Linked DNA regions of Ovis aries. The protein of the gene in region 3 interacts with the protein of the main gene of each other region in a pairwise test. Links are inferred from orthologs where the notes say so. Each region holds a gene or a part of one and is shown on either strand. Other genes may lie near its edges. The genes, in order: BRMS1, NKAPD1, CEP70, TTLL10, DDX6, ZNF366 and CWF19L2.

Region 1 (4,192 bases), on a different chromosome or scaffold from region 3:
TGTCGATCTCCTGCAGCATGTACACGATGTAAGGGCCTGAGATGGGGGTCAAGGAAACAGGAGACGTGGGGAGGGGGCAGGGGATGGGACCGGGCCCCCAGCCCAGGGGGTGGGAGGTGCCAGCACTCAGAGGCGGCGGTGCCGTGGATGGCGGGTTGGGGAGCCGAGCACCTGGGGCAGCACTCAGGCTCCACCTCCGACCTCGTGGCTCCTGGGTTCTTAGCAGGGTGGAGTGCGTGGCTGCGGCCTATTTCAGTTTCACCCAGTCCACAGAGGGCGTTCAGCCCCTTGGCTCCCTCCTCACCTCCTCTCAGGCCTCAAGGTCAGAAGGCCCAGGCCCAGGCCACCCACTCAGGGATCTCGCCCCCTGTTCCCTCAACTGGCCCCACCTACACGCAGACTGTCATCTATCTCTTCTGTCCTGAAAACCACCCTCCATCGGTCTCACCCGCCCGTCTGGGGACTGGCCACTCTGCCCGCTGACGTCTCCACACCCTCACCTCCCACCCCCGCTCAAGCCTCTGCAGTCCAGATCCTTCCCTCCCTGCTTGAACATGATCCCCATCACCAGGAGGTCAACTTCCTGATAATCTGACTGCGGCAGAAATATGGAGGGGTGTGTATACCTGAGAATTCAATTCAACTCCGTGCTGGGCTATGCGAGGGGGGGAGGCCGGCACAGCAGGCCCTGAACAAGAGGGGCTCACACCTGGGGGGCGGCAGAGGTGACTATGTCCAGAAGGGAGGCAGGTGCCCCCGTTCAGGTAAAGGGGTGCAGAGGAGAGGGAAGCCACAGCCATTGTCGGGGAAACCAGGAGAGGCTTCACAGAGGAGGTGACAATTGATGGGCACCGAGCAGGCAGACAGGTAAAGGCATCCAAGAGGGGAGTGTAAAGTCAGCAAAGGCATGGGGGTGGGAGAGCCTGGGACATGCCCAAGACACTGTGAGAAAGCCAGAAGGGCCTCAGAGGAGACCTCACTCAGAAAACTATGGGGAAATCTCTGGATGAATGCTTCTATTTTTCCATGGTCCACACAGGCCAGGAGGACCCTGCAGAAAATTCAACAGCTGATCTGCCTGGACACGGCCACAGGAGGCCAGATGACCTTAAGTGAGTCTGGTCTGCCTCTGTCCCCCATGTGCCTCCACCCTGACCTCCTGCCCAGTTCAGGCCACTGTATGGGGAAGGATACCGGAAACGAGAGGCGCCTTCTTCCTCTTGTTGGGTGGCAGGGAGTCCCATGTCTTCGAGCTGCCTCTGGCATGCAGTTTGTCATCCCACCACTCTGCGCCCCAGACCAGAGTCAGCATCAGGGTGCCGTCCTCCCAGGACGCCCCACCCCTGAAGCCTGTGTCCCTCACGTGGGCCAGGCCAGCCCATCCCCATCAACCTCCCCAGGGCAGTGCAGAGAAGCCTGGGCTTGGAAGCTGAGTTCAATCCTGGGAAAGAGGTCACTGTGCTTCTGCTAACCTCAGTCTCCTCATCTGTTTCATGGATGGGGGTGTGAGATCATTAGTCCCTCCCTCCCCAGTGCCCTGTGTGAATGGGCACACTGTGGCCATGGCAGGGGCACGTGTGTCAGAATGATGCCTCCATTCTGGGACCAGCACGGAGGGAGGGCACCCCCAAGCTGCCACTGTGCACCAGGCACCGGGCTGGGCCCTTCCCCGCCTGCTTTCCGTCAGTCCCCACGGTGAGCACGGAGCAGGCCCTCCTACACCCACCCCCATGCAAGCGGGGAAGGCAAGGCCCAGACAGGGAACGGGCGCTGGAAGCACAGGGGTGCCGGCTGGCCGCTGGCCTCACCAGAGTTGATGTCCAGGCTCTGGCGGTCCTCCTCCAGCCTCTGGATCCGCTCCTGCAGCTCGCCCTGCAGCGTGTCGTACAGCAGCAGCTTCTCACTCTGCAAGAGGCGCAGCGGCTCAGCTGGGCGGGGCGGGGTGGGGCGGGGCGGCCACCTCCTCCCCACCCGGCGCACCCACATTCACCTCCAGGTGCTGCTTGGCTCCCTGCAGCTCACACTCATACTTGTTCCTGATCACGTCCAGACAGAAGCCCTTGTAAATCCCTGCGGAGGGAGGGCGATGGGCGGCCGGGCCTGGCCAGGGCCCTGGCTGCCCACAAAGGCGGGTGAGGCAGGGCACGGGTGAGAGGGGAAGGGGACAGAGAGCCGTGGGTTCTCATAAGGGGACGGGGCACAGGACGGGCCACAGACCTGCCACCTGAATGCGAATCTTGAGGCTCCGCTGCAGCCCCCCCAGGGGCTCCGTGTATTCGGGTGCCCTTTCAGCTCCCACTTCCTCCAGCCGCACCCGCAGCTGACTCAGTCGTTCCCTGAACAACCTGGGAGGCGAAAGGCAGCCGTGCGCCCGTGTGCCCATCTGCTAAACACGTGCCCAGCGCCCCGGGTCAGGCCCTTGCTCACACCGGCCCTGGCTGGCGCCAGGCCCTCCGCTGCCTCCTGGAAGCCGGGCCCCGAGCCCCGGGCCCCTCGCTCACTTCTCCTTCAGCTCCGAGAACTGCTTCTCCAGGTCCATCATCTCACTGACGCACTCGCTGCGGCGCCGCTCGTAGTCCTCCTCGTCCATCTCTGGGACAAGAGGCCAGTCAGGGCCGGCTGCGGGGGCAGGCAGGGCGCTCGAGGGCGTGTGGGGCTCACCTGAGCTCTCCTCCTCGGACTCGGTCTGGCTGCCGCTCCGTTCCTCCTCGCTCTCCTCCTCCTCCCCATTCATCTCGGCAGCTGAGTCGCCCTCTGCTTCCATCTCCTCTGTGTCCTTGCTTGGAGGCTGGACGGGCATCTGGGCGCTGGGAGGAGCAGTGGAGCCATCACTCGCCCCTGTCCCCAGCTCCGAGTGGCAAAGTGGTCACTTGGGGAGTCAAATCAAGCCTCGCTGTGGATGGGGACAAGCAGGGGAGGGAATGGACTGGACTCGCTGGGCCCTAGGGACATGCAGGGTGGGGCAGGTACAAATGGAACCATCTACACATCTCCCAGAAATCTAGGAGCCACAGAAATGCCCATCCCCTTGGACATTGTTGGTGATCACAATCCCCGTAATATTGGCCAAGGTGATGATCTGTAAGATGGGAAAGGCCAAGATGGGCTCTCCACTGCCTACGGGACTGGGCCAAAATTCTGACCCAGGCTTTCGAGGCCCTGCACACTGGACTTGAACCGCTGTCCAGCTCCTTCACCCCACATCTAATGGCCAGTTCTCAAATACACCACGCACTTCCTCCCCAGCCCCTGCTGCCCACTGTGCTGTTCTTCTGCCTATAAAGCCCTCCACTTCTCTTCCCACCCTACAATGCTCGGGTCCTCTCGCTATGCTCAAATCCTACCTCCTTCTGCCTCCTCTAAGACCCCAAGTCATCAGTACTCCACTCTCTCTTCTGCATGCTCAATTTTCCCTCTTGGCAGCTCTTAGGAAACTTTAGACATGTTTAGGTATTTCCCAACATGCAGAAAAAGCAGAAACACAAAACTTCATCCCACTCCACTCAATCACGGCCCCCATTTCCCATCTTTGCAAGGTCTTGTAAACACATGCTCTTCCTACTCTTTCACCTTCCACTTGTTCCAATCTGTTTCCATATCATTGCTCTCAGCTGAAACTGATCCTGTAGAGTTAATAGATGACCTCCTTGTACCCGATGCCAATATTTTTTGGTCTCTATCTTGACTTCTCAGCAACAAAGAACAGTGTTAAACATCTTTTTACTCACTGATTTAATCTTTATTGAAAAATCTAACATATGCTAGGTACCATCAGACACTATGGTAGGAGCTTGGCTCAAGTGCGGCAGACAGTTTTCTGATCTCAAGGAGTTGACAAGTTCCTGGGAGAGAGAGGCCAGGAAGCAGAAGAGTTAAGACCAAGAGCATATGGGAGAGGCAGCTAAATGAAACCTGGAGCTTGCTGCAGCAGTGAGGGCTTGCAGAGGATGAAGGGCCAAACCCATGAGCTGAGCTGGCTGAGGAAGAGAAAGCATTCTAAGGAGAGTGAGTGGCATGAAAAAGACCCTGAAAGGAGAGAAGGGGCAGGGGTGGGGACACATGGGTCTAAGCCTCAGAGAGAAATCTGGGCTGCAGAGATCTGGTCATCACATTGAGTGAGTTCTTCAGACCTTGGGAGAGTGTGCCACCAGCAAGGCAGAATGTGTGGAGTGAGAAGGGGCTCATGATGGAA
Region 2 (4,258 bases), on a different chromosome or scaffold from region 3:
CACTGTTTTCATGTGAATCCCTCATTATCTCTCACCTGAAATACTACAACTGTCTCCTAACCGGCCTCTCTACTATTTCAACCCATCTGATCTATCCCCTCCCCAGCTAACAAATCATCTTTCTAAAATATTAATACAGTGAAATAGTGAAAACAGTGGCTGACTTTATTTTTCTGGGCTCTAAAATCACTGCAGATGGTGAATGCAGTCATGAAATTAAAAGATGCTTACTCCTTGGAAGGAAAGTTATGACCAACTTAAATAGCATATTAAGAAGCAGAGACATTACTTTGCCAACAAAGGTCCATCTAGTCAAGGCTATGGTTTTTCCAGTGATCATGTATGGATGTGAGAGTTGAACTATAAAGAAAGCTGAGTGCCAAAGAATTGATGCTTTTGAACTGTGGTGTTGGAGAAGACTCTTGGAGAGTCCCTTGGACTGCAAGGAGATCCAACCAGTCCATCCTAAAGGAGATCAGTCCTGGATGTTCATTGGAAGGGACTGATGCTGAAGCTGAAACTCCAATATTTTGGCCACCTGATGCAAAGAGCTGACTCATTGGCAAAGACCCTGATGCTGGGAAAGATTAAGGGCAGGAGGAGAAAGGGACAGAAGAGGATGAGATGGTTGGATGGCATCACTGACTCAATGGACATGGGTTTGGGTGGACTCCGGGAGTTGGTGATGGACAGGGAGGCCTGGCGTGCTGCGGTTCATGGGGTCGCAAAGAGTCAGACACGACTGAGCAACTGAACTGAACTAACTGAACATCTCTAACCTTGCTTAAAAATAATTAATGGTTTCTTTATTGCCTACAGGCAAAAGTCTGATCTCCAAGCATCACAATCCAACTCTAATTGACCACTCAAGCCTCATCTTCTGCCATTACCTCCCAAATTCTCCACTTTATGGATGCATACAATTTCTTCCCTTAAGTGCTTCATGCTCCTTACCATATGCTACTACATGATATTCCCTCTGTGCTGAATGATCTCTGACATCTGATAAACTTGAACCTGTTCATTAAGAACTAGTTCAAATATCAGCAGTTCAAATACCACCCATTCTGTGAAGCCTTTCCCTATTTCCCAAGGCAGAGTTCATTATTCCTTCCTCAGTGGATGAAAGCACTCTGTGTATGTCTACATTATAATACTTACCAAATTATATTCTAACTATGTATTGTATCTTTGTCTCTTCGAACTGTACCAAAATCACTCCAAGCACACTGTTAACCCTCCTTAACCATGAGGAATAACTAAGGTGTATCTCTGACCTTATTGTGAGCATCTGTGTGCCGGATGACATTTCTCAGGAGGACTTTCCCCAAAGGAACTCGCGACATTCTTCAACCTGAAATGAATCAATAAGTAACATTTAATAATTTAATATGTTATCTTTTATCACTATGCTATAATGAAACATGAGCTAAAGAGAAGATTTCCGAACTAGAAGTCAGTGGTCCTGAGGAATAGTTTTTCCTTCACCATTAAAAGGGGAAAACACCTGTCCACACTAATGTGAGGATGAAAGGAAATAATGTACATTAGAGTTCTTTGAAACTGCACCAAATTAAGTGCTTTCAAGAGCACCATTTTATTTAATCCTTAAAATAACTGTTTTATGTTCCCTGGTGGCTCAGACAGTAAAGCGTCTGCCTGCAATGAGGGAGACCCGGGTTCTATCCCTGGCTCAGGAAGATCCCCTGGAGAAGGCAATGGCAACCCACTCCAGTACTCTTGCCTGGAAAATTCCATGGACAGAGGAGCCTCGTAGGCTACAGTCCATGGGATCGCAAAGAGTCGGACATGACTGAGTCACTTCACTTCACCTTCATTCCTTTTCTGTAGATGACATTCCCTTAAAGCCATACCTTGCTCCAGGGCACACAGTCCAGGGCAAACAAAGTTCAGATTCGAAATCAATTCCCAAATCTCCAAATTAGTTTACAGTTAAACACCTAGATTTAAGAGCTTCAGGGACACAAATGTCAACAGTAACAAAAACTGATGCCTAAAAACATCAACTGCAAAGATGCCCTACACTATTTCATTCAAGGGAATTTTATGTTCTATTTTGTCCAGAAGCCTCCAAAAAATAAATGACAGACATATTCACATGTGTAGCTATCAGGGGCTTTGGGCAACCACCCCACCGCTCACTCACCCCTCGATCCTGAGGAAATCAGGCATCTTGTTAGTGTGAGACGAAGAACCATTCCATTACAAGATCTCCTCCGACCCAGGAAGCCAAGGAGTCAGGGCTCAAAGGCAGCTCTGCAGCTTCACCCGAGTCCTTCGTGAAAACGCAGCCTTCCCACCAGTTATTCCGCCCTCACCCGTGGCCCAGGTCACGGCCGCCGTCCCCTCAGCCCAGGCCGACAGGCAGATTTCTCTCCGGACTGAGGCCGGGGGCTGCTCCGGCGCGGAATTCGGGCGGCCGGGTTGGCTGGGGCATTCCCCGCTCACGTTCCTCTGGGACGATCCCAGGGGTTGGGTTTCACTCCCCAAAAAGGGATAAGGACGCTTTGGACCGGTACGACTCTTGACTGGGCCCCAAGATGTATCTAGAGTGGCTGAAGAGGGGGTGGGGCGGGGGGAGGCTTCCAAGTGGAAAACAGAGAAACTACCCCTATCTTCGTCACCGGGACCCTTGCTCCCCAGCGGCCACGGGACTCCTGGTAACTTTCCTTCCAAACACCCTCCCCACACAAACACACACAAACACACCCATACCGTGCGCCGCAGCCTCGCGTAGCGGGGTTGGGGGGGAGGAAGCTCTCTGGGAGAAGAGAGATCTGACTTCCCTTCCAGGCCGGAAGTGGTGCTCATGGGAAATTCTTCCCACCAACAGAAGTCCCAAGGATTCCCACAGAAGGGTTTCCAGGACACTCTAGAAGTCTTCGGAAGTAGAACGGGAAGCAAGGTCCGTCCTGGAAAAGAAGTGGGTCAGGCTCAGCCGAAAAGCAAGCCCAGCACCAGAAGGAGAAGACTCGGGAACTGGATGTAGAAAGATAAGACCTTTTTGTCTGGAGCTTTCCGGACTCAATTAGATGTTGTCCCAGTGTGGTTACCCTGGTAACAGGCGTCGCGTTTTGTCAAGTAACCAAAGGAAGAGGTAGGTTCGCCGACCTCTGGAAAAATTAAATTTCCCATTTAGTCTAATCTTAATGTAGTATTTGGAGAATCCTCCTCATTCTGTGGATGCTGTGAGATACGTCTCCATTGACGGAGGGGGCTTAGAGGGAGGTTATCTCAAGTGGTAGAGAGAATATTATTATTCTTGGCAGGTGTTCCAGCCTCTCCGTATTAGCTTACTTAATTCTCACGATAACCCTATGAGATACGTATTATCGCCTCCATTTCGAGGAGAATAAACTGAGGCACATGTGTAAATTAATTTCCCAAGATCACACAGCTAGTAAATGATAGAGCTAAGAGTGGAATCTCGGCATTCTGGCTGCAGAGTCCATGCTTTTAACTCCTGAACTATGCTGATTGAGGAAGTCTCATGTGGCCGTCAACCCACAGCACACTTCTAGCAAATTCAGGCCCCAGTTAGCATATACCCGGGTGTTGAGACAAGAAAATTCCGAGAAATCCAAACTTTAAATGACCTCTCAAGCGGAGAAGGCACTGGCGACCCACTCCAGTACTCTTGCCTGCAAATCCCATGGATGGAGGAGCCTGGTGGGCTGCAGTCCATGGGGTCGCCAAGAGTCGGACACGACTGAGCGACTTCACTTTCACTTTTCAGTTGCATGGATTGGAGAAGGAAATGGCAACCCACTCCAGTGTTCTTGCCTGGAGAATCCCAGGGATGGGGGAGCCTGGTGGGCTGCCGTCTATGGGGTCGCACAGAGTCGGACACGACTGAAGCGACTTAGCAGCAGCAGCAAGGCTTGTGAGGGTCTATGCAGAGGTAAGGACTTACCATCTGAGAGAGCATCTTGAGAATGTAAGAAAGGGTACTAAATAGAATATAAGGAAAAGATAAAACAGTGCTGATCCATAATCTTTTAGGCACTGGTGTTAAGAATAGCTGTCAACTTCAACAAAACAGCCCCTGAACTGTTCCTCCTCCCCGCGAAGAATAGATTTGAGGTGAAATTTTTTTCTTCCTTAAGTCATGTCTTTCTACAGGCTTAAGAGGCCTATTCATCTATATCATGGAGTCATCCTCAAAGGGTCTGCTTACCCAGGTTACTCAGTTCTGGAACCTCTTAGATGATCTGGCTGAAAGTAACCCTGAGAGCTA
Region 3 (3,500 bases):
TTAATAGCACACCTAGTAAAATGTTTGTTAATGACAAACTCACTGTTAATCGCTACCTCAAAGCAAGTAAAATCATATTGCAGGAAACAAACTCTTTGAGACACAAGGCAATAAATACATTTCTACATTTTCACATCTCAAGTTAAACTTTCAAATTATGTCTTCCCTTGCCATGATCGTTTCAAACGTATGAGCATGAATAAAGTACACTCACTGTCTCCGTTGCTTCCAGTCTACATAAAATTGGCCACAAAAAATTATGTTCAACTAGGCTATACACTCTAATCAGATATGCCTTTCATTTACTCATCTTCTTACCAAATTTTAACTTACTCGTTCCTTTATCTTCTACCAAACCTTATCTCCTCTTCTAATTTAATTTCCTATGTCAAAGAGTTATCCTTTAAAAAACAAAAAAAACCTTTCTACTTCAAATGAGCTACACAGAAAAAATATTAATCATAATGAATTAATGAAGTAAATAAATCACTGTAACCTTTTTAAAAAGTAATTTTGTTTTGTTGGGATTAGGGAATCTTAGTTCCCCTACCGAGGATGAACCTACACTCTCAACAGTGAACATACAGAGTCCTAGCCAGTGGACCACCAGGAATTCCCTAAAAAGTGTTCTTAATGGTAAGATTAATTATTTTTATAGCCATAATAAATCACACTTAAAGTAAGAGATGTGGGTTTTTATTTTGCCTATGATTTCTAATTATATTTTTTTCCCCTTAAAGCCTTCAATCTGACCAAGAGTGTAAATGTATCTCTTCCCTTCCACAAACTTATAAATTTATCTTTCTACAGATGTTTACGTTATATTATTTCTCATCATCTGAGGAAATTAAATTTAAAAAAAGAGAGTAGGTAGGAGCTATCTTTTTTAAAAAAAAAAAAAGGAGGAAGAGGGGGAAGAAAAATTAAAAACACACCTATCAAGATCATAAATTCTACAGACATTTCTCATTATCCAGTGACAGTCAGGGTTAGAGTGGGCCTAGCCAGAATAATGTCATTTCTCATTTTAAGGTCCTAAAACAAAAGGCTCAGCTCCTTAAAGAATATGTGCTTCTGTGTTCTGTAGATTAACCCCAACCAACTTTAACTGCAAAAGTTGGAAGTTTGTTTTCACTACTATTAGTGGTTTCCACTTTCTACCACTCTAGGTAAAAACACTAATACAGTGACTAAGGAACACTCTTTCCTCAAACCCAATGCCATCCTGAGACTCAATATTTAACCACCTCCGACAAAAATCTTACCTAAGATTTTGAGTAGATCATTAGTAAATGCCTGAAATGCTGGGAAAAATTCCTCATGTTCTTCCAATTTGTGGATAATGCTTTAAACAAAAAAAAGCACAATTTATACTGAATTTCTGACTTACGATTCTTACATTTGATTGGACATAGAACATTTCAAAACAGAAAGAAACTGTCCTGGTAATTTAAATACAAATTTAATGATTATTTACTGCAATCTTTCCTTCTGAGCTCTTTGTTCATCTAGTAATAGTCTTCTAAAACAACAAAAAAAAATCTACTAGCGGTATAATCATCTGTTCTAAGGTTAAATCTAACATTTCTAATATGGGAATTTTCCATTTAGCTTGAGGAGTCTTAAGAGACCAATGTTTTCTAAAAATAATTGATTTTCATATCCTGTATTCTATTAAACATTAAGAATAAGTATCAGTAATCTGTAAAACTGGGAGGGAGAAAAATACCAATAGTGAGACATACGTTCCTTTTAAAATCATCAAGTGTCAGAAACCTCAAGTGTCAGATTAGGTTAGGGTTCCTCTTGGAAAACTTGCAGAACGTATGGAACATATACTTCCCTTATGCTGCAGTATAAAATCTGAGGGAGGAGGGAGGAAGAGTACAGCTATAACATTTTGACATTAAAAAAAATTAGGTTTTATGTTGGAGATGCCTAGCTTTAAAAAAGAAGTCCTTAATATTTTATCAAACAATGCACATACTCTTAGTGATTAATCAGTGATATATGGTAATCTACTAGAAACTAGACTTACTTATATATTCTGAATTAACATGAAGTTGCTGACAAAGTTTGACTTTCTCCAATTATAATTTCCCTTGGGAATAAGCTTATATCAAAAATGCTAGAGTCCTGACTCAGACCCCCAGAATCTACTTTTATCTTGAAAATATTTGATATTCTCTCCATCCCTAAGGTGTGAAATTATTTTTACAAATGCTATTCCAAACAGGAAAGGTAAATAACTTATGAAGTTTTGAAAATCTTTAATTTTACTCCAAACATTCTGGACAATACTTTGCAACCTTTTTAAAATAAATACCTTTGAAGGTCTTCTGGTCCTAATACCTGCATAATCTTTTCATTCACATCTTCATTAATCAGCCTACACAATTTTCCAACTGTGCTCACCAGCACACACAATGAGGATGAACTATCTGCAAAAGAGAAATAAAAGGAAAGAATATTTTAAGGGAATTTTCAAAATTAAAAATCAAATCAATTAAATTAATTAAATCAAACGTTATGTTTCTGTTACCCTCAATTTTTTACCTACTTTTTGCTGATTTATTAATGGGGCCTCCCTGGTGGCTCAGACAGTAAAGAATCGGCCTGCAATGCAGGAGACCCAGGTTCAATCCCTGAGTCAGGAAGATCCCCTGGAGAAGGGAATGGCTACCCACTCCAGTATTCTTGCCTGGAGGAGTCCATGGACAGAGGAGCCTGGTGGGTTACAGTCCATGGGATTGCAAAGAGTCAGACTTATTAAAAATCATTATTAAGTGGGGGGCCAAAATGAAAATGAGTCATTACCTAGTTCTAAGAGTTCTTGGAGGTTTCTCACAGCATTGTTCAATTCTCCAAGCCTAGTATAAATTTCATTCATTCGAGGATAGACGCCAGTTAAAGAAGGAACATCAAATAATTTTTGGAAGTGAGAAACAATAGCTCGCAAAATGTGGAAGTCTGGCATATTGCTGTCCTGCCCAAAAGAGAGGAAGTAAAAGAAAGTTCACATCTTAAAATTATTCCAAATCTTATAAAAACTTTAACAAGAGAAAGAGTTATAGTAGAATATCTGTATCCATATCATTAATTTCACATTAAAATGTGAATGTCTATATAAGTACTGGGTAGTATTACCTTTGCCTTATTTTCAACTTCTTCTAATATGGTATCTACTATGAACAATAGATCTTCAACTCTGACACTTTCATTTTCATCCTGCTTCTTTAAATTATGCCAAGGCACCAGTTCTGTAGACAGTATTTTCAAGGACTTATATAAATCCTTCATAACAAAAGAAATAATATGCTATTATGCATTTTTAAAGTTTTCATAATCATGTTAATAAAATATAACTATCCAAGCAGATGTAATACATATATTAACCATCATCAGTATTTTTTAAAAAATACCGTTACCTGTTTAGAAAGAGTCTTTTAAATTCATTTTCTTCAGGCCTTACAAAAAACATTATACATATACTGATTATC
Region 4 (4,103 bases), on a different chromosome or scaffold from region 3:
GGAGGGGTCAGGGGGATCACAGCTCCAGCTCCCAGAGCCTTTGTTGAGCAATTACCCTTTTTTTTTTTTTTTTGCCTTACTGCACAGCATGCGAGATCTTAGTTCCTGGACCAGGAATCAAACCCACAACTCTTGGGTTGGTAGGGGAAACCTTAACCACTGGACCACTGGGGGATGTCCCCACAATCACCTTTCTCAGAATCTCTCTAACAGACTCATTCTAAATAGAAAGCTTTTGCTGGAAGATGTTCAGGGAATGTTATCACTGGCGATGCAGCTTGGGCAGCCGCGGCCCCACGGGCAGGATGGCACCAGGGCTCCCAAGACGGCTGCAGCAGAGCAGGGACCGTCAGTGGAAACCCAACTTTATAATGAACTTTTAAAGAAGCCATTTACCTGGTCAGGTAAAAAGACCAGCAGGAAACGGCACCCTGGTGTGATGAGTGGAAGACCTTGGTGAATGAAGCTGAAGGAAACGTCCAAGAAATGAGATGCCACCATGCCCTACTGGGCCCATCCCCAGATATACGCTTGGCCACACGGGCGCTTGGGAGTGCTGACTTTGCTCATCCGGCTGGTGCTTTCTGGCCAGGGCTAAGCTGTTTGGGGGATGTGGGTCCCTGTGGATTTTAGGAGGCCATCCTTTTGGGGTTTGGTCCAGAGAGACAGACCTGGTCTTGAGCAAAGCAGCTGGTCCTAAGGAGCTGCCACCCCCGGGAGGCCTGCCCTGCTCAGCCTGGCCTGGGTGTCTCTGTTCCTCATCCTATGGCCCTGGGTGCTTGGGCCCTCTTCAGAGGGGGCTCTGCCCAGCCAGGCCCCTCCTCCCCTCTTCTCCCTCCCCTCCCTTATACTCCTGGACAGAGTCTTAGAGGACCCATAGGGCTCCTGGGGGCTGCGGGGCCAGGTAGGGGCCACAGCACAGCTGGCTCCAGCCTTCATGCCCAGCCAGGACCCCACTGTGGCCTGCCTGTCCCTCTTACCTGCCCCATAAGGTGGTGTGAGCCCTCTGCCCGGAAAACAACAGTGGTGACCAGGCAACTGTCTCCCAGCAACCACAACCCAGTGGCCCAGAGGTGAGCAGGTGGATGGGGAGGGGCTGGAGGCTGGCCCGGGGGTGGGGGCAGGGAATGACTGAGGTTGGAAGAGGGGCGTTACATGCACAGCCGCCATCCGGGTCCTCCATCCGGGTCCTCCATCCTCCAGGGTCATTCCTGAGCCTTCTCAAGATCCCCAAGTCTATGCCCAGACCGCAGGCCTGACCCACTGTGCTTCAGCTGCTACCCTTCACTTCCGCTCACCACAGCCTCAGCACGTGGAGCCCTCACTTAACAAAATGAAAAGTGGGGCTTTGCAGACCCATGCCTCCGCAAGGCATGGGGAGATGGGGCTGACAGCCAGGTCTGGGAGTCCAGGGGCGGTGGGAGGGCCTCTGGCTGCCCTGCACGGCCTCTTCCTCCACCCTGCACCATGCTTTGCATGGGTCACCAGGGCGTCTCCCCTTAGAGTGCCTTCACTTGCTTCCTGTAGGGTGGACGGCAGCCCCCTGCAGTGTGTGTCCACGTCCTAAGGCCCAGAACCTAGGGATGTGACCTCACTTGGAGAAATGGTCTTGGCAGATGTAATTATCTGATGGGCCCTAAATCCAGCAACCAGTGTCCTCGTGAGAGGGAGGCAGGGAGCAGGAGACACAGAGGGGAGAAGCCAGTGGAAGGTGGGCAGTGGCCAGAGGGCCACAAGCCCTGTGGCCACAAGCCTGGGGACACCTGGAGCCCCAGAGGCCAGAAGAAGCAAGAGGGACCCTGCTCATACCTGGACTTCTGACTTCCGGCCTCTGGGACCATGAGAGAAGTCACTTTCATTGTTTTAAGCTACCAAGTTTGTGTAGTTTGCTGTGGCCACCCCAGGAAATTAATGTGCCCAAGTCCCTCCTCCTGACTCCTCTCAGAGACTGATGCGCCCTCAGCTGTGTGCTGCCTGTGCCAGGCACTGGTGGCCTCAGGGCTCAGTTCTGCTGGACTGTGGTCTGAAATCCCTTTGCCCGAGAGTTAGTCTGTGGGAGCGGGGAGAGCTCCCCTAGCTGAGCTATTGTCTGAGGGGCATCCTGACCTCAGGGTGGTGGGCCCTTGCCTGGGCCTGCAGGGGACAAGTACCCTTGGGTGTGCAGGGGGGCCCCTGGTCACCTGCAGTCCGCTCAGTCTTCCCACTGGCCCGAGCAAAGACTTTTGGAAGTCTGTCCTCCCCAGGAGCCCATGCCTCCATCCCTTCATTTCTAGAGACCCAGACTCTAGGGGCTGGGCCAGCCCACCTCCCTGCTCCTCTGGTGGCTCCTCATGGGTTCTCAGGAGGCAGCCCCCTGCCCATGTGGTGACACCAAGAGCTCAGACTCAAAAACTGCCTTGTAACTTGAAGCTGGTGAGGGAGCCAGCCTGGCGGCAGCCTTTCCCACAACAGCCCAGGGCTGGGCCATTGGTCACATCTACAACCTGGAGCAAGGCAGCCCAGCATGAACTGGCTAGCCTTGCAGGGCAGATACCTCTCCCCTCTCCTCAGGCCTGGCTGTGCTTGGGCTGAGTACCCTAAGGGCTGAGTACCCTGAGGACAGTAGGGGATAGTCAGCCCCTCTCTGGGAAAAGGCCCAGTGCCCCTCCTGCTGTGGTAGTTGAGGGTCTTCCCGGCCTCCTACAGGGAACTGGCACCTTTGCTGGGGCTGGAAAGCCTCCTTAGTGGCCCCCATGCAGCCTCTGGCCTCTGGGTCCCTCTGCTCAGAGAGGCCTTCCTGAGCACCCCCACCCCTTACCCCCCACCCCACCCCTGCAGCCCCTCCACCCTGCCCCCCCGCCCCTGCTGTACCCCCACTTCCGCCCCCCACCCCAACCCCTGCAGCCCCTCCACCCTGCCCCCCTGCCCCTGCTGTACCCCCACTTCCGCCTCCCCCACCCCAACCCCTGCAGCCCCTCCACCCTGCCCCCCGCCCCTGCTGTACCCCCACTTCCGCCTCCCCCACCCCAACCCCTGCAGCCCCTCCACCCTGCCCTCCCGCCCCTGCTGTACCCCCACTTCCGCCTCCCCAACCTCAACCCCTGCAGCCCCTCCACCCTGCCCCCCCGCCCCTGCTGTACCCCCACTTCCGCCTCCCCCACCCCACCCCTGCAGCCCCTCCACCCTGCCCCCCGCCCCTGCTGTACCCCCACTTCCGCCTCCCCCACCCCACCCCTGCAGCCCCTCTACTTCTCCGGCTGCTGCAGCACCAGCAGCCCTGCAGACCACATGCCCTGCCCAGAGCCTTCTCGCTGTCTGTGGCTCCTTCTCAGGGACACTCCTCCCCTATCCCCAGTGTGTCTGGAGCTGCACTGGCTTTCCGAGGGCACTCAGGAAAGAGTGGTCACTGAGGAGGGAGGGAGGGACAGAGAGAAGGGCCCTTCTACCCTGACTCTGGCCGCAGAGCCTGGGTCAGAGGCATCAGCCATGGACTGGGACCCTAGGGCCTGCTTAGAATTCTCAGGGAAGGAAGAGGCTCTGGGGGCACAGCCATGAGGCTGCGAGTGGGACTGGCAAACACTGTAGACAGATGATGTCTGGATGTGGAGCAGAGGGGAGGGGGCAGGACCACCAGGCCTTCCAGCGGTACCTGGGTATGGGGTGTGATGGCCTGGTACCTGGAGAGGCCTTCGACCACCCAAGAGCCAAGTCAGGCCTATGGGGACCCAGGGGAGGAAGGCCAGCACCCTCAGGATCCTGGTGCCACCTGGGGTTGGGGAGGGCAGCCTGGGGTGTCTCTAGGGGCACAGGGAGTTGGAGTTGCTTCTATCCTGTACTCCTCATCCCCCACCACTGCCTGGCATAGCGATTAGGGTGCCTCCCTGGAGAGGCTCCTGGGGGGCTCCAGGGATGTGGCTGCTGCAGCCCAGGGCTCTCATGGCCCAGTGGCAGCGCCAGCAGTATGAGCCTATCGCCAGTGCACCTGAGCTGAACAGGAGCCCCCATGCTTTATTACACCAACAGTCCATTGTGTCTGTGACAGAAAGCCCTCTGGGGGTCCCAGGGCTGGGGCGTCAGGTGTGGCCTGGGCCTGGGCGGAAGTGTAGCACTGCTGGGACCCATGG
Region 5 (3,500 bases), on a different chromosome or scaffold from region 3:
TGCTGACCTGGATGCAAATTTGACTGACCTGTAGAGCAAGTTCTCTAGTGGGAACAATCACCATTGCTGGAAAATATCAACAAACAGAAAAAAGGAGAGAGGAGGGGGGAAAAGCCATATTTTAAGAGTTTAAGAAGCTATAGAAATATTGCCCCTTGTAATCAAGACACTCAAATGAATAAATTTCAAAAAAAGAAACTATTATAGTGTACCAGATTTAGACTTCTCCTCAGTAACAATGCTATACAATTCTTCTACTCTTCCTGGTTACAAAGCCTTAAAGGGTTCTTTGAGTTGGCAATTATTAACTCAAAATTTGTTAGTATTTTAGTAAGAGATCACTAGTCAAAATGCCCAAATAGGAAACTCCTGCTGCCCAGTTCTACTTATATCATATGAACATAATAGGAAGATGGCAGAAATAATTATAGATCAAGAAACCATGGGGAGAAAAAAACTGAAAACTTTACAAAAAGCTTTAGAGGTGAAAACATAGATCTACTGGGTACAGTTACGGAAATGTGTCTCTTCCATACTACTTAAGATTTTAAAATCCCCAAGCCACAAGGCTTCAGAGAGAAAAAGTTCCTGCTTTTACAAGGAACTCTGCAGACACAGCTGTCACAAGAAACATTCTAGTTCCAGTTCCATAGTTTTAAGTATCTATTTCAGACAATTTAATTTTCCCTATCTACAGGACAATAATTCTTATTTTGCCTATCTCACTGGAATGTTGTAGTAACTGTAAAATATGCAAAATAACCTTAAAAACTAGAAATCTCTTTTTAAAAGTTAGGAATCATTTTTACAAGACAACTAGGCCATAAGCTGTGAAAAGGGTAAATACTAATTTCATATGATTTAAGTTCCAACTGAGAAAAGATGGTAATATCTTCTATACAGCTCCAAGATTTAAATCAGCATTTATAGTTTAAACCAACCTTGTATATTGTCCTTCTTCAGGTCTAGCCGTTCAAGTAAGGGAATGAGGTAGGCACCGCTCTTGCCTGTTCCGTTTTTTGCTCTAGCTAAAATATCCCTACCAGATAAAGCAATGGGAATGCTCTCCTCCTAGAAGAGATGGAACAATGCATATTACTTGTGAATAAAATCAGTACATAGGCGAGTTCTTCTCTAAAACACACTGAAAGTATACAAAGTTCCTTGGTATTGAAGTATTTTACAAAAGACCAAATAAATTAGCAGTACCAGTCAACATCACCATTAGTATCAACTTACATTTATCAGAACTACTCATAAAATACACACTAAATTTAGTAATAAAAACCTTTGAGTTTGTATGTGTGAGCATCAACAACAGAAAAAGAGGAGGAACTTGGGCTGACACAATAAACACACAGGGGAAAATAAGCGAAGGACATTTTGCAATTAAAAACAAAGAAAAAACAGCACAAACAATATTCAAAAGAAGGACTATATGATATTCTGAGACTAGTAAACCAACTTGACCACAGTGAAAAATTGTAGGTTGGACAATTTTATTTCTACATAAACAGGACTCAGATGGAAAAGTTTAGTCTTGGGTCCTATCTTTTTTTAAAATTGTATTACATAATGACCAATGTCTGTCTCGCAGCCAACTTCTGTCCTGAGATGTGCCCTGACTTCTCGTTTTCAAATCTGGCTTACTCGTGTGTTTTGCAGACATGAGTGTTTTGCAGAAGATAATATTTCTTATTAGGGCAAATTTCCTAGACAATACCAAAGGATTCTCAACAATTACTAAATATTAAATATACATACACAGAGAGAAATTAAAAAAGGTAAAACAGGTATGAACAGAGGAAGCAGAACACTTCTATTTCTAAAACTAAAAAATTTTAATTTCTACAACTATAAAATTAGAAAAATAAATTAGGAAAAATATTCACAATCACTGTAATTAGCTCTTTCTATGCTTGAGCTAATGACCAAAACAAATATCTCTAGCAATTTAAAACTGTTACTGGAGAAATACCCAAGTCATAAGCATCATGACTTTCATTTCCTACCATGACACTTATTTTAGAACCCCAATCATAGGGGTCAGATGGGTTCCATATAATCAGAATAACTAACACTGTTGCCAGAACAACTGTGAAAATAGTTCAGTGACAATACTCTGTTAATTTACTCCGACAGCCAGCATTGAACAGTCTGCTTATTATGTAGGGTGAAGCAGGTCAAAGAAAGCCTTGGTTTGACCCTCTGGTCTTAAATCCTTCCTTGCTTGACCACATGTGTTACTCAGCCGTGTCTGACTCTCTGTGACACTGTGGACTGTAGCCCGCCAGGCTCCTCTGTCCACAGGATTTTTCAGGCGCGAACACTGGAGTAGGGTGCCATTTCCTCCTCCAGGGATCCATGTCTCCTACAGCTCCTGCTTTGCAGGGAGATTCTTTATCCCTTGAGCCACAACTCTGAGTCAACTCTATTAATCTTCAGTTGTCCCGAAGGCCAATTATCACATGGGTTCAATCTCTATTATGGTTTTTGAACAGGTTACCAGTATACAACTCAGTTTGACAGCAGAAAAAGACTTTAGTCTCTCAGTGACTTCCTGAGTCAGGTCCTTTAAAAGGATAAGATACCTCAGTGAAGTCAGACAGGACAGAATTAGATTGGGGGTATCCTAATTCCTTTTTGGGGTTTACATTATGGCTTAAAGGCCACTGACTTCTGTTTCTCTGCTCTTTGACAGGACTTATGTTCCACAGAAACAGAAACTGTTTAAGGATAGGGCTACAACAAAGTAAGCTAGCTAGCCTGTAAGGTAAGATGCACTGTACTTTGTCTCATATGGTGGCTATTATGATTAGCAGTCAGAGAATTCAGTATATTCACTGTCTCTTATCACTGTTTGCTAGGAAGATTAAACAATCCGAAGTGAGGAAATTCAAGCCAGATTCAGACAGCTTTGAAACTCAAGAGAAGTCATGGGGAACTGCCAGGGAGAAGGAGGAAGGAAGCTAAAAATTTTAAAAACTTACTGTGATGGGTACTACACTTAGATACTTAATGTTAATTATATCCTTTCAAGTTAGGTTACTTTTTGTCTTACAAATGGCAAAATGGATCCTCAATATTGTTTTGCACAAGGTGATTAAGCAAGAAATGCTAGAATCAGGATTTGAACTTAGGTCTGCAAATAAGAGAAACTGGAACCTCATACACTACTAAGTAGAATATATAGCCATTTTGGGAAATAGTCTGGCAGTTCCTCAAAAAGATAAAAAATTACCACATGAACCAGCAATTCTACTCCTAGGTATATGCCCAAGAGAAATGAAAATACCTCCACAAAAAATTCTACATACATCAGTGTTCAAAAAGGCATTATTCATAATAGCTAACAGTGGAAACAACTCTACCAACTGAAGAATGGATAAACCAAACGTGGTATAGCCATACAGTGGAATATTATTCAGCAATAGAAAGGAATAAAGTACTGACACATGCTACAATATGGATGAATCCTAAAATATGCTAAGTCAAAAAGC
Region 6 (2,964 bases), on a different chromosome or scaffold from region 3:
CTCTGGAGAAGAAAATGGCAACCCACTCCAGTATTCTTGCCTGGGGAATCCCAGGGACAGAGGAGCTTGGCTGGCTACAGTCCGTGGGGTTGCAAAGAGCTGGACACGACTGAGCAGGTAACACTACTACTCCTGAGATGATTCTAATGTGCAGGCAGCACTGAGAACACAGCCCCGCAACTGCTTTCCTAGCAATGGTTATTCCAATACTCTAAATAAGTTACAGCTGAAATGTCAGGGAGAATTCTTCCCCCAACCCTGTAGCTCCAGCACTGATGAGAAATCCACTGCTCACAGGGTGCCAGCTCTTCCTGCAGCTGCTTTACAAGGCGTGAGGCCTTGGAGCAAGGTCTCCAGGAGGGAGCCCTGCTCAGGACTCAGGGTTAGCCTGCAGACGCTGAGCACTGCTGGGCCATCAGAAAATACGCTCCTATGCCACATCTGATGAAGGCAGCGGGAGCTGAACAAGGCAGACCCAGGCAGGAATCTAAGCACTGCTGGTTTTCCCTTAATGAAAATTAATCACATTCTCTTGAAATTTTATCTTATATCTGCAGCAACTACTCCAGAACATCCTCTTTAAAAACTCACCCTCCTGTCATTTCTGATATTTTTTTTTATTATTTAATAAAATGATTTTAAAAATATATACCACTACTACTATTTTCATCTATCTGGAAAAATATAACTTTCACAAATTCAACTAAAGAGTTATTAATAAAGTAACATGTCAAGCACCATATTTTTGCAACTAGAAAGAAATTTACCATGTTAGTCAATGAAAAATAGAATTTCTAAAAGCACCTCAGCATCAGCTTACAATTAGATGTCTAGAACAGTATGTACAGTTAATTGTACTGGAGATCCATGAAACAACATTGAAGAAGGCCCTCCATGTGTGTTAAAAATCAAGGGCCCAAATGCAAGATCTGAGAAGCATTTGCTTCTCTGCTCATCTAAGTCTGCGCCCTTTGTCAAGATTCATGCCCTTCTCGTCTCCAGCAAATGAGAGCTCATGCGGAAAGCTGTATCTGCACTGCCTAGCTCTCATTTTCCAAGTGTAATTCTTAAACCGTCCACTTAGATCCCCAAAAGCACTGCTTGTTTTTCCATTTTCCTCTCCAGTAATTCTTTTAAACGCTCATCTCTGTGCTTGAAGTACAAGTAATCAGAAAAGGCTGGGCCCCTCCGGGTGCTCGGCAGGACCCGGAGGCCAGGCCGCTCGTCTCTGCGGGCGAACTCTCGCTCGGGGCCGCCCTCGGGCCCCAGGCTGTCGCGGCTCTTCAGCGGGCGGACCCCTGGAGGCGAGGCCTCCTCGGCGGGCGCCTCCTCCCCAGGGCCCGGCTCCGGCTTGGCAGACAGGTCCTGCGGCGCGCAGAGCGGCGGGCCGCGGGGCCCGGGGCCCGGGCTGTCTGGCTCCACCTCGTAGCAGTTGTCTTCGTCCTCCTCCTCGTGGCAGGAGCTGCCCCGGGCGCTCTCGCCGTCCGACTGGAAGGCTGGCCCCTTGGCCTGGCGCTTCTGGGACAGATCGAAGGGCTCCTCCTGCTCCAGGCTCCGCAGGGCCCCCGCGGTCGGCACCAGCGCAATTCTCCCCCTTCCAAAACCTGCCAGGAGCAAAGGCACGTTCAGGCCGCCGAAGGGGTCGTTGGGTGGAACCCAGGGCTAGTTAGCATAACTTGATTTTGCATTTTAAAACTAGATAAATCCCCAGAAGGCTGTAGAGAGACGGGCCTTGTCACAGCTGGAATCTATATCCGTGTGACTCCTTTCAGGGGACTGTGGCAACGTGCACGAAAAACTTTAAAAATAAGCACACCTTTAACTTAGCCAATCACAGGACTGAAAACTTAAACTATGAAAATAGTCTGGCAGATGCAAAAACTGTATAAGGATGGGTGAAAACAACGTATCCATTTAAGGACAGAGGTGTGTTTACATAAATAGTAGTATCTCCATGGGGCTTCCCTGGTGTCTCAGACCATAAAGAACAGTCAAGGTATTATGTGTTAGAAGGTATTTCTATGTGTATAATATGTCGATACCTCTTAGTGCTCATAAAAGGTATTCTCTATATACTTTAAGTAAAAAATATATATATTTATTGTATAGACTCTATTTTATCTATCGAAAAATGTCTGGAAGGATATATGTCAAAATCTCAAAAATGGGTAACTATGAGGTGATTTTTACATTTTTCTTTTCACTTCGAATATATTTCTTTTTACTTTTAACAGTGAACACATATTTTACCATAAGGAAAAAATAACAAAGATATTTTCATTGTGGAAAAAAAAACCAACAGATATTGCATTTGGGTCCAGGGCTCCCCAAGCACAGACAGAGCTGGAAGGGCAGAGGAAGGTGCACCGCGGTGTTCGAAGCCCCCTGCCCAACCACAAGTGTCCCTGCTACTGGACACGGGGAGGTGGGCGGGCCTCACTTTCAGGGATGGGCTTTCAGCAGCCAGCAGACACTTGGGAGGCGCGACCCGTCCGTGGTGGGCCAGCGGCCAGGCCTGGAGGGACAGGTGGGGATGACTGAGGAGGAGGACAGCAGGGAGGGCCTGGGGGTGGCCAGACCCTGGTGCCCAGGGAGAAGCAGGCTGCTGAGGTGGGGACACACCAAGGAGGCCGATCTCCAGTGCTGCCTACCTTACCGTGTTGTCAGGCGATGAAGCTATCGGTAGCTTTAATCTTGTCAGGGACAGAGGGAGGATCTTTTTAATCTGGGTCATGATTCTTGAGCTATTTCAAAAACTAGAGTGAAGAAATGCCAAAACCTTTTGTAGATGAAAGCATTAACACTGTCGGAAGTCTGTTACAAACTTTCAAAGCAACTCTCTGATAATATAGTGATGCTCTTGATTTTTCCAGAAGAATGACAGTCTTTAGGTGCCTGTTAGGATATGAGCATCCACGTGGGGTAAGTTCTGGTGACCGAGTTAGATTGTCAGATGGAGCACTG
Region 7 (4,140 bases), on a different chromosome or scaffold from region 3:
TTACCACAAGTGGACTGGAAACTTGGATCTAAGCTTTCTACCAGCCAACTCAACTAATACAATCTTTCCAATATCATGTCCAAAATATCAATATATACTACTCTAGCCAGAAAGACAAATATTCAGTACTGTCAACTATGTGATATTCATTCTTTAACTTGTGAAAAAGAGTTTATAAACTTGCTCCTCCAGTATTAACTTGAATAAGTGCAAAAAAAAAAAGCTTACACCAAGTAAGCCTAATAGTATTTACCTGTGAGATTTGTTCAACTCTCTTAATCACATCAGGTAGCATCCATGTTTCCTCACCCCGAAGTCGTTTCAGTTCTTTACGCCTTTCTTCCTTTTCAAAATTGGCTTTAGCCTAAAACCGTGAAAAAAGAAAAATTAACAACTGACCCACCTACTTCTCACCAAAAAAGCAAAACAGAAACCTCCCCCACTTTCGTGCAAGGCTCACCACAAATTTGCTTCTATCAAAGTGTGTGTGCATGCATACTAAGACACTTCAGTTGTGACAGACTCTTTGCAACCCCATGGACTGTAGCCTGTCAGGCTCCTCTGTCCATGGGATTCTCCTCTCAAGAATACTGGAGCGGACTGTCATGCCCTCCTCCAGAGCATCTCCCCAAACCTCGGGACTGAATCCGCGTCTCTTACGTCTCCTGCACTGGCAGGTGGGTTCTTTACCACTAACACCACCTGGGAAGCCCCTACCAAAGTGTAAGAAAGATTAAAAACAACAAATTCTCCTTCCACATTACCAATTGCATTACCAATTAGCAATCACTAGTGAAAGGAACCGGACTTCCCTAGTAGCTCAGGTAGTAAAGAATCCGCCTGCAATGGGGAAGACCTGGATTCAATCCCTCAGTTTGGAAGATCCCCTGAAGGAGGGTGTGGCAATCCACTCCAGTATTCCTGCCTGGAGAACCTCATGGACAGAGGAGCCGGGTGGACTACAGACCACAGGGTCACAAACAGTCAGACAGGACTGCATGAGGAAGCACAGCACAGTACAGTGAAATGAGCCACCAATCAAGGACAGAATCTTGGGACCTACTGCAGACCTCTTCCTGTCCCCTAAGCTCCCTACTTTAAAAATGACTTGAATTTCTTTTCCCTTCGCTATTCCACTGACAGCGCCTGATACTTCTGTAACTGTTAGGAGACTGACCTCCATACCCTCAATCTGCAATGTCCATAACCCTCTACCCACACCCTCAAAATGCTTCAGAAAGAATCACCTTTCTAAAAACAAATGATCATATTGATAAGTTTTTATCATTCAAAAACAGTCAAACTAAGTAACAGCTTCCTAAGAAGTTGTTCCTGCCTTTTCATTCTCTCCCCAAATTTCAAAGCTAGGATTGGTCCTTCTCAAAATTCTGTACATAGATATACTATAAAATTTATCATAGTTTACAAATCCACTCCCTCCAAAAACTCCCTCTGAAATATCAGAGACAAGGATGAAGGATATTTATTATACACATATATTACATATGTTGAAATCAGGGACCACCAATCTTTCACCTCTGTAAGACTTATTGCCCTTTTCTTCCCCTGTAAAATCTGACTGCAGTCATTATAACTTCTCCTTCCTATCTCCTACACCGGTTCCTTATTTGCATTTAATGGAGAAGGAAATGGCAACCCACTCCAGTACTCTTGCCTGGAATATCCCATGAACGGAGGAGCCTGGTAGGCTGCCGTCCATGGGGTAGCGAAGAGTCGGACACGACTGAGCGACTTCACTTTCACTTTTCACTTTCATGCACTGGAGAAGGAAATGGCAATCCACTCCAGTGTTCTTGCCTGGAGAATCCCAGGGACAGGGCAGCCTGGTGGGCTGCCGTCTGTGGGGTCGCACAGAGTCGGACACGACTGAAGCGACTTAACAGCAGCAGCAGCATTTAAATGTGTTTTAAACGGTTATAGCTTAAAACAGATAAAATAATGATCATCACTTGTTTCACCTTACACTGTTCTCTAACTACAACTTTTCCCCTTCACACTTCTTTTCCCCTGCCACACTTCTCACATCTTCTGAGCTAAGTCAATAGTACAGTTTACTTCCTCCCTTCCTTATTTTACTTCTACTCATTTCAATCTTAATGAAAAACACGTTTCTCAACTTTTTTCGAGGAGCTAAATTTTTTAGATCTCTGTCTCAGTCGCTGTTTGGTTCAGTACGGGTTTGCAATAAGCCGGATAACTGACACAAATAACTTAAAAGGAGAATGAAACGATCTACTCTAACGTGCCTTACACGAGTTTCTGAAAACGGAAAATTTCATTTCAGATATAACAAGACGGAGGACCTAGGCTGTAAGATATGCAGGGAAAGTAGTGGGGTCCCTCGAAAGTGCGCAGCACAGGTGATCAGGTGCTAGAAATGTCAAGCACGGATGCTTTAAAAGATAAGGAACGTCAGAGGAAAGGAACAAGTTTTCTGGAAAAGAATATGAGCAACTGGAGCCTTCCAGACCATCTAAGAGGCAGAAGATACCAACAGTGTGCGAGCATCCCAAAGGAAAACATCTATCCCCACACAACTAGATACGGTAAGATACTGAGGAACTGAAACAGGAAAAGGTGCAGGGAGGCAGGAGAGCTAGACGCCTGACTCCCAGAAAGCCTCCACTCTCAAATCTAAATGACTCCCAAAGCCTCAAAACTGAGGTACCTGGCGCAACACCTCGGTCCTGGCACTTCGAATCTGTTCTTTACGCTCTTCGATGCTACTCGCACTTTCAAATCTACCCCCGGCAGCCGCCATAGTTGTTGTCGTAAAGCTAGGAAGCCGGCACAAAAATCTCGGTTTACGACTGTCGTAATTTAGTAAACAAACCGGGACTTCCGACTAGGGGGAGGAGGGAATCTGCGCCACCAAAAGAGCATGCGCAAACCGTTGCTTATTATTTCGGTAAATTGTCTACCCCTTAGGTTTGGAAGAAACCGAAGGTTAAGTCAAGGGGTTACACTCCTTCGTGTATTGGGGTTGCCCTGAACAAGACTTGTGTCAGCGTACATGTATTACGCAGTTTGCACGGGACTGACGGCATGTCACAGCTGAAGTGGAGTCGCTCAGTCGTGTCCGACTCAGCGACCCCATGGACTGTAGCCTACCACACTCGTGGGATTTTCCAGGCAAGAGTACTGGAGTGGGTTGCCATTTCCTTTTCCAGGGGATTTTCCCGACCCAGGGATCGAATCCGGGTCTCCCGCATTGACGCTATGCGACCCCATAGATGGCAGCCCACCATGTTCCGCCTTCCCTGGGATTCTCCAGGCAAGAACACTGGAGTGGGTTGCCATTTCCTTAGATTAAAGGTACATGTTGTAAAGATTTCTACCAAAGTGCCCTTATCGCCAAAGAGGTTTCCCTGTGCTGGAGGAATGGACTAAAGGAAGGCTGGCCAGAAAGACAGTGCAAGCTAGCAGGAGAGAAGACTTGCTTTGAAGAGTGAGCAGTTTGCTTTGGTGGATTTTTTTTTTTTTTTTAAGCACAGTATATGAAAAAGTCATGTGAATTTCGCATTGCACTTCATAATTTATACTTGTTTAAAGTGTAACATTTTTTCTGACCTCATACTGTTTGTTCATACTGTCTCAGTAACAAGTGAAAAAAAAAGAGGAATGGGTATTTTTCTTCCCTTTCCAGAGAATAAAGAAGATAAAAGAGAACAGCGAGCAGGCCTGAATATTTCTAGTTGTTCTTTTTTTGTTTTTGTTTACTTTAAAAACTCCTAACTTTGAACGTAACTAAATTTGCTCTTCTGCCCCTTAACTGTACAGGAGCTACACTTCACACCTATTTTCCTTTGACTGTGTTAAATACATCTACTATCTGGTGTGAAGGAGAAGGGGGCATCAAAGGATAAGAAGGCTGGATGGCATCACCAATGCAATAGACAAGAACTTGGGCATGGGAGATGGTGAGGGATAGGGAGGCCTGGCATGCTGCAATCCATGGGGTCTAAGAGAATAGAACGTGACTGGGTGATTGAACAGCAACATCTGGTGTTTCAGTTCAGTTCAGTTCAGTTGCTCAGTCGTGCCCAACTCTTTGCGACCCCATGAATCGCAGCATGCCAGGCCTCCCTGCCCATCACCATCTCCCGGAGTTCACTCAGA

Evidence for each region.
Region 1: the proteins of CEP70 (region 3) and BRMS1 interact in binary tests that used the Homo sapiens proteins (3 or more experiments, as listed by UniProt). The two-hybrid records come from large-scale screens. The link is inferred for Ovis aries from reciprocal best matches to the Homo sapiens genes CEP70 and BRMS1.
Region 2: the proteins of CEP70 (region 3) and NKAPD1 interact in binary tests that used the Homo sapiens proteins (3 or more experiments, as listed by UniProt). The two-hybrid records come from large-scale screens. The link is inferred for Ovis aries from reciprocal best matches to the Homo sapiens genes CEP70 and NKAPD1.
Region 4: the proteins of CEP70 (region 3) and TTLL10 interact in binary tests that used the Homo sapiens proteins (3 or more experiments, as listed by UniProt). The two-hybrid records come from large-scale screens. The link is inferred for Ovis aries from reciprocal best matches to the Homo sapiens genes CEP70 and TTLL10.
Region 5: the proteins of CEP70 (region 3) and DDX6 interact in a two-hybrid assay, tested with the Homo sapiens proteins (2 studies listed by BioGRID and IntAct). The two-hybrid records come from large-scale screens. The link is inferred for Ovis aries from reciprocal best matches to the Homo sapiens genes CEP70 and DDX6.
Region 6: the proteins of CEP70 (region 3) and ZNF366 interact in binary tests that used the Homo sapiens proteins (3 or more experiments, as listed by UniProt). The link is inferred for Ovis aries from reciprocal best matches to the Homo sapiens genes CEP70 and ZNF366.
Region 7: the proteins of CEP70 (region 3) and CWF19L2 interact in binary tests that used the Homo sapiens proteins (3 or more experiments, as listed by UniProt). The link is inferred for Ovis aries from reciprocal best matches to the Homo sapiens genes CEP70 and CWF19L2.

Annotation. Positions count from the first base shown.
Region 1 is NC_056074.1:40,819,862-40,824,053, forward strand, and holds the start of BRMS1 (breast cancer metastasis-suppressor 1), read right to left. Parts: upstream 2,801-4,192; coding exon 2,662-2,800; intron 2,593-2,661; coding exon 2,502-2,592; intron 2,346-2,501; coding exon 2,218-2,345; intron 2,071-2,217; coding exon 1,991-2,070; intron 1,906-1,990; coding exon 1,809-1,905; intron 1,288-1,808; coding exon 1,195-1,287; intron 37-1,194; coding exon 1-36. UniProt on the Homo sapiens protein: Transcriptional repressor. Down-regulates transcription activation by NF-kappa-B by promoting the deacetylation of RELA at 'Lys-310'. Promotes HDAC1 binding to promoter regions.
Region 2 is NC_056068.1:22,066,709-22,070,966, reverse strand, and holds the start of NKAPD1 (uncharacterized protein NKAPD1), read right to left. Parts: upstream 2,801-4,258; 5' UTR 2,737-2,800; exon of another isoform or gene 2,168-2,736; intron 1,355-2,167; 5' UTR 1,347-1,354; coding exon 1,278-1,346; intron 1-1,277. Other genes in the region: PIH1D2 (PIH1 domain-containing protein 2), read left to right, coding at 4,170-4,258.
Region 3 is NC_056054.1:251,250,955-251,254,454, reverse strand, and holds part of CEP70 (centrosomal protein of 70 kDa), read right to left. Parts: intron 3,295-3,500; coding exon 3,148-3,294; intron 2,987-3,147; coding exon 2,818-2,986; intron 2,442-2,817; coding exon 2,327-2,441; intron 1,864-2,326; coding exon of another isoform or gene 1,845-1,863; exon of another isoform or gene 1,346-1,844; coding exon 1,266-1,345; exon of another isoform or gene 1-1,265.
Region 4 is NC_056065.1:50,636,746-50,640,848, forward strand, and holds the start of TTLL10 (inactive polyglycylase TTLL10), read right to left. Parts: upstream 2,801-4,103; 5' UTR 1-2,800. UniProt on the Homo sapiens protein: Inactive polyglycylase.
Region 5 is NC_056068.1:29,112,375-29,115,874, forward strand, and holds part of DDX6 (probable ATP-dependent RNA helicase DDX6), read right to left. Parts: intron 1,072-3,500; coding exon 942-1,071; intron 67-941; coding exon 1-66.
Region 6 is NC_056069.1:9,288,153-9,291,116, reverse strand, and holds part of ZNF366 (zinc finger protein 366), read right to left. Parts: intron 1,605-2,964; coding exon 1,081-1,604; 3' UTR 1-1,080. UniProt on the Homo sapiens protein: Has transcriptional repression activity. Acts as a corepressor of ESR1; the function seems to involve CTBP1 and histone deacetylases.
Region 7 is NC_056068.1:15,697,041-15,701,180, reverse strand, and holds the start of CWF19L2 (CWF19-like protein 2), read right to left. Parts: upstream 2,801-4,140; 5' UTR 2,783-2,800; coding exon 2,690-2,782; intron 365-2,689; coding exon 254-364; intron 1-253.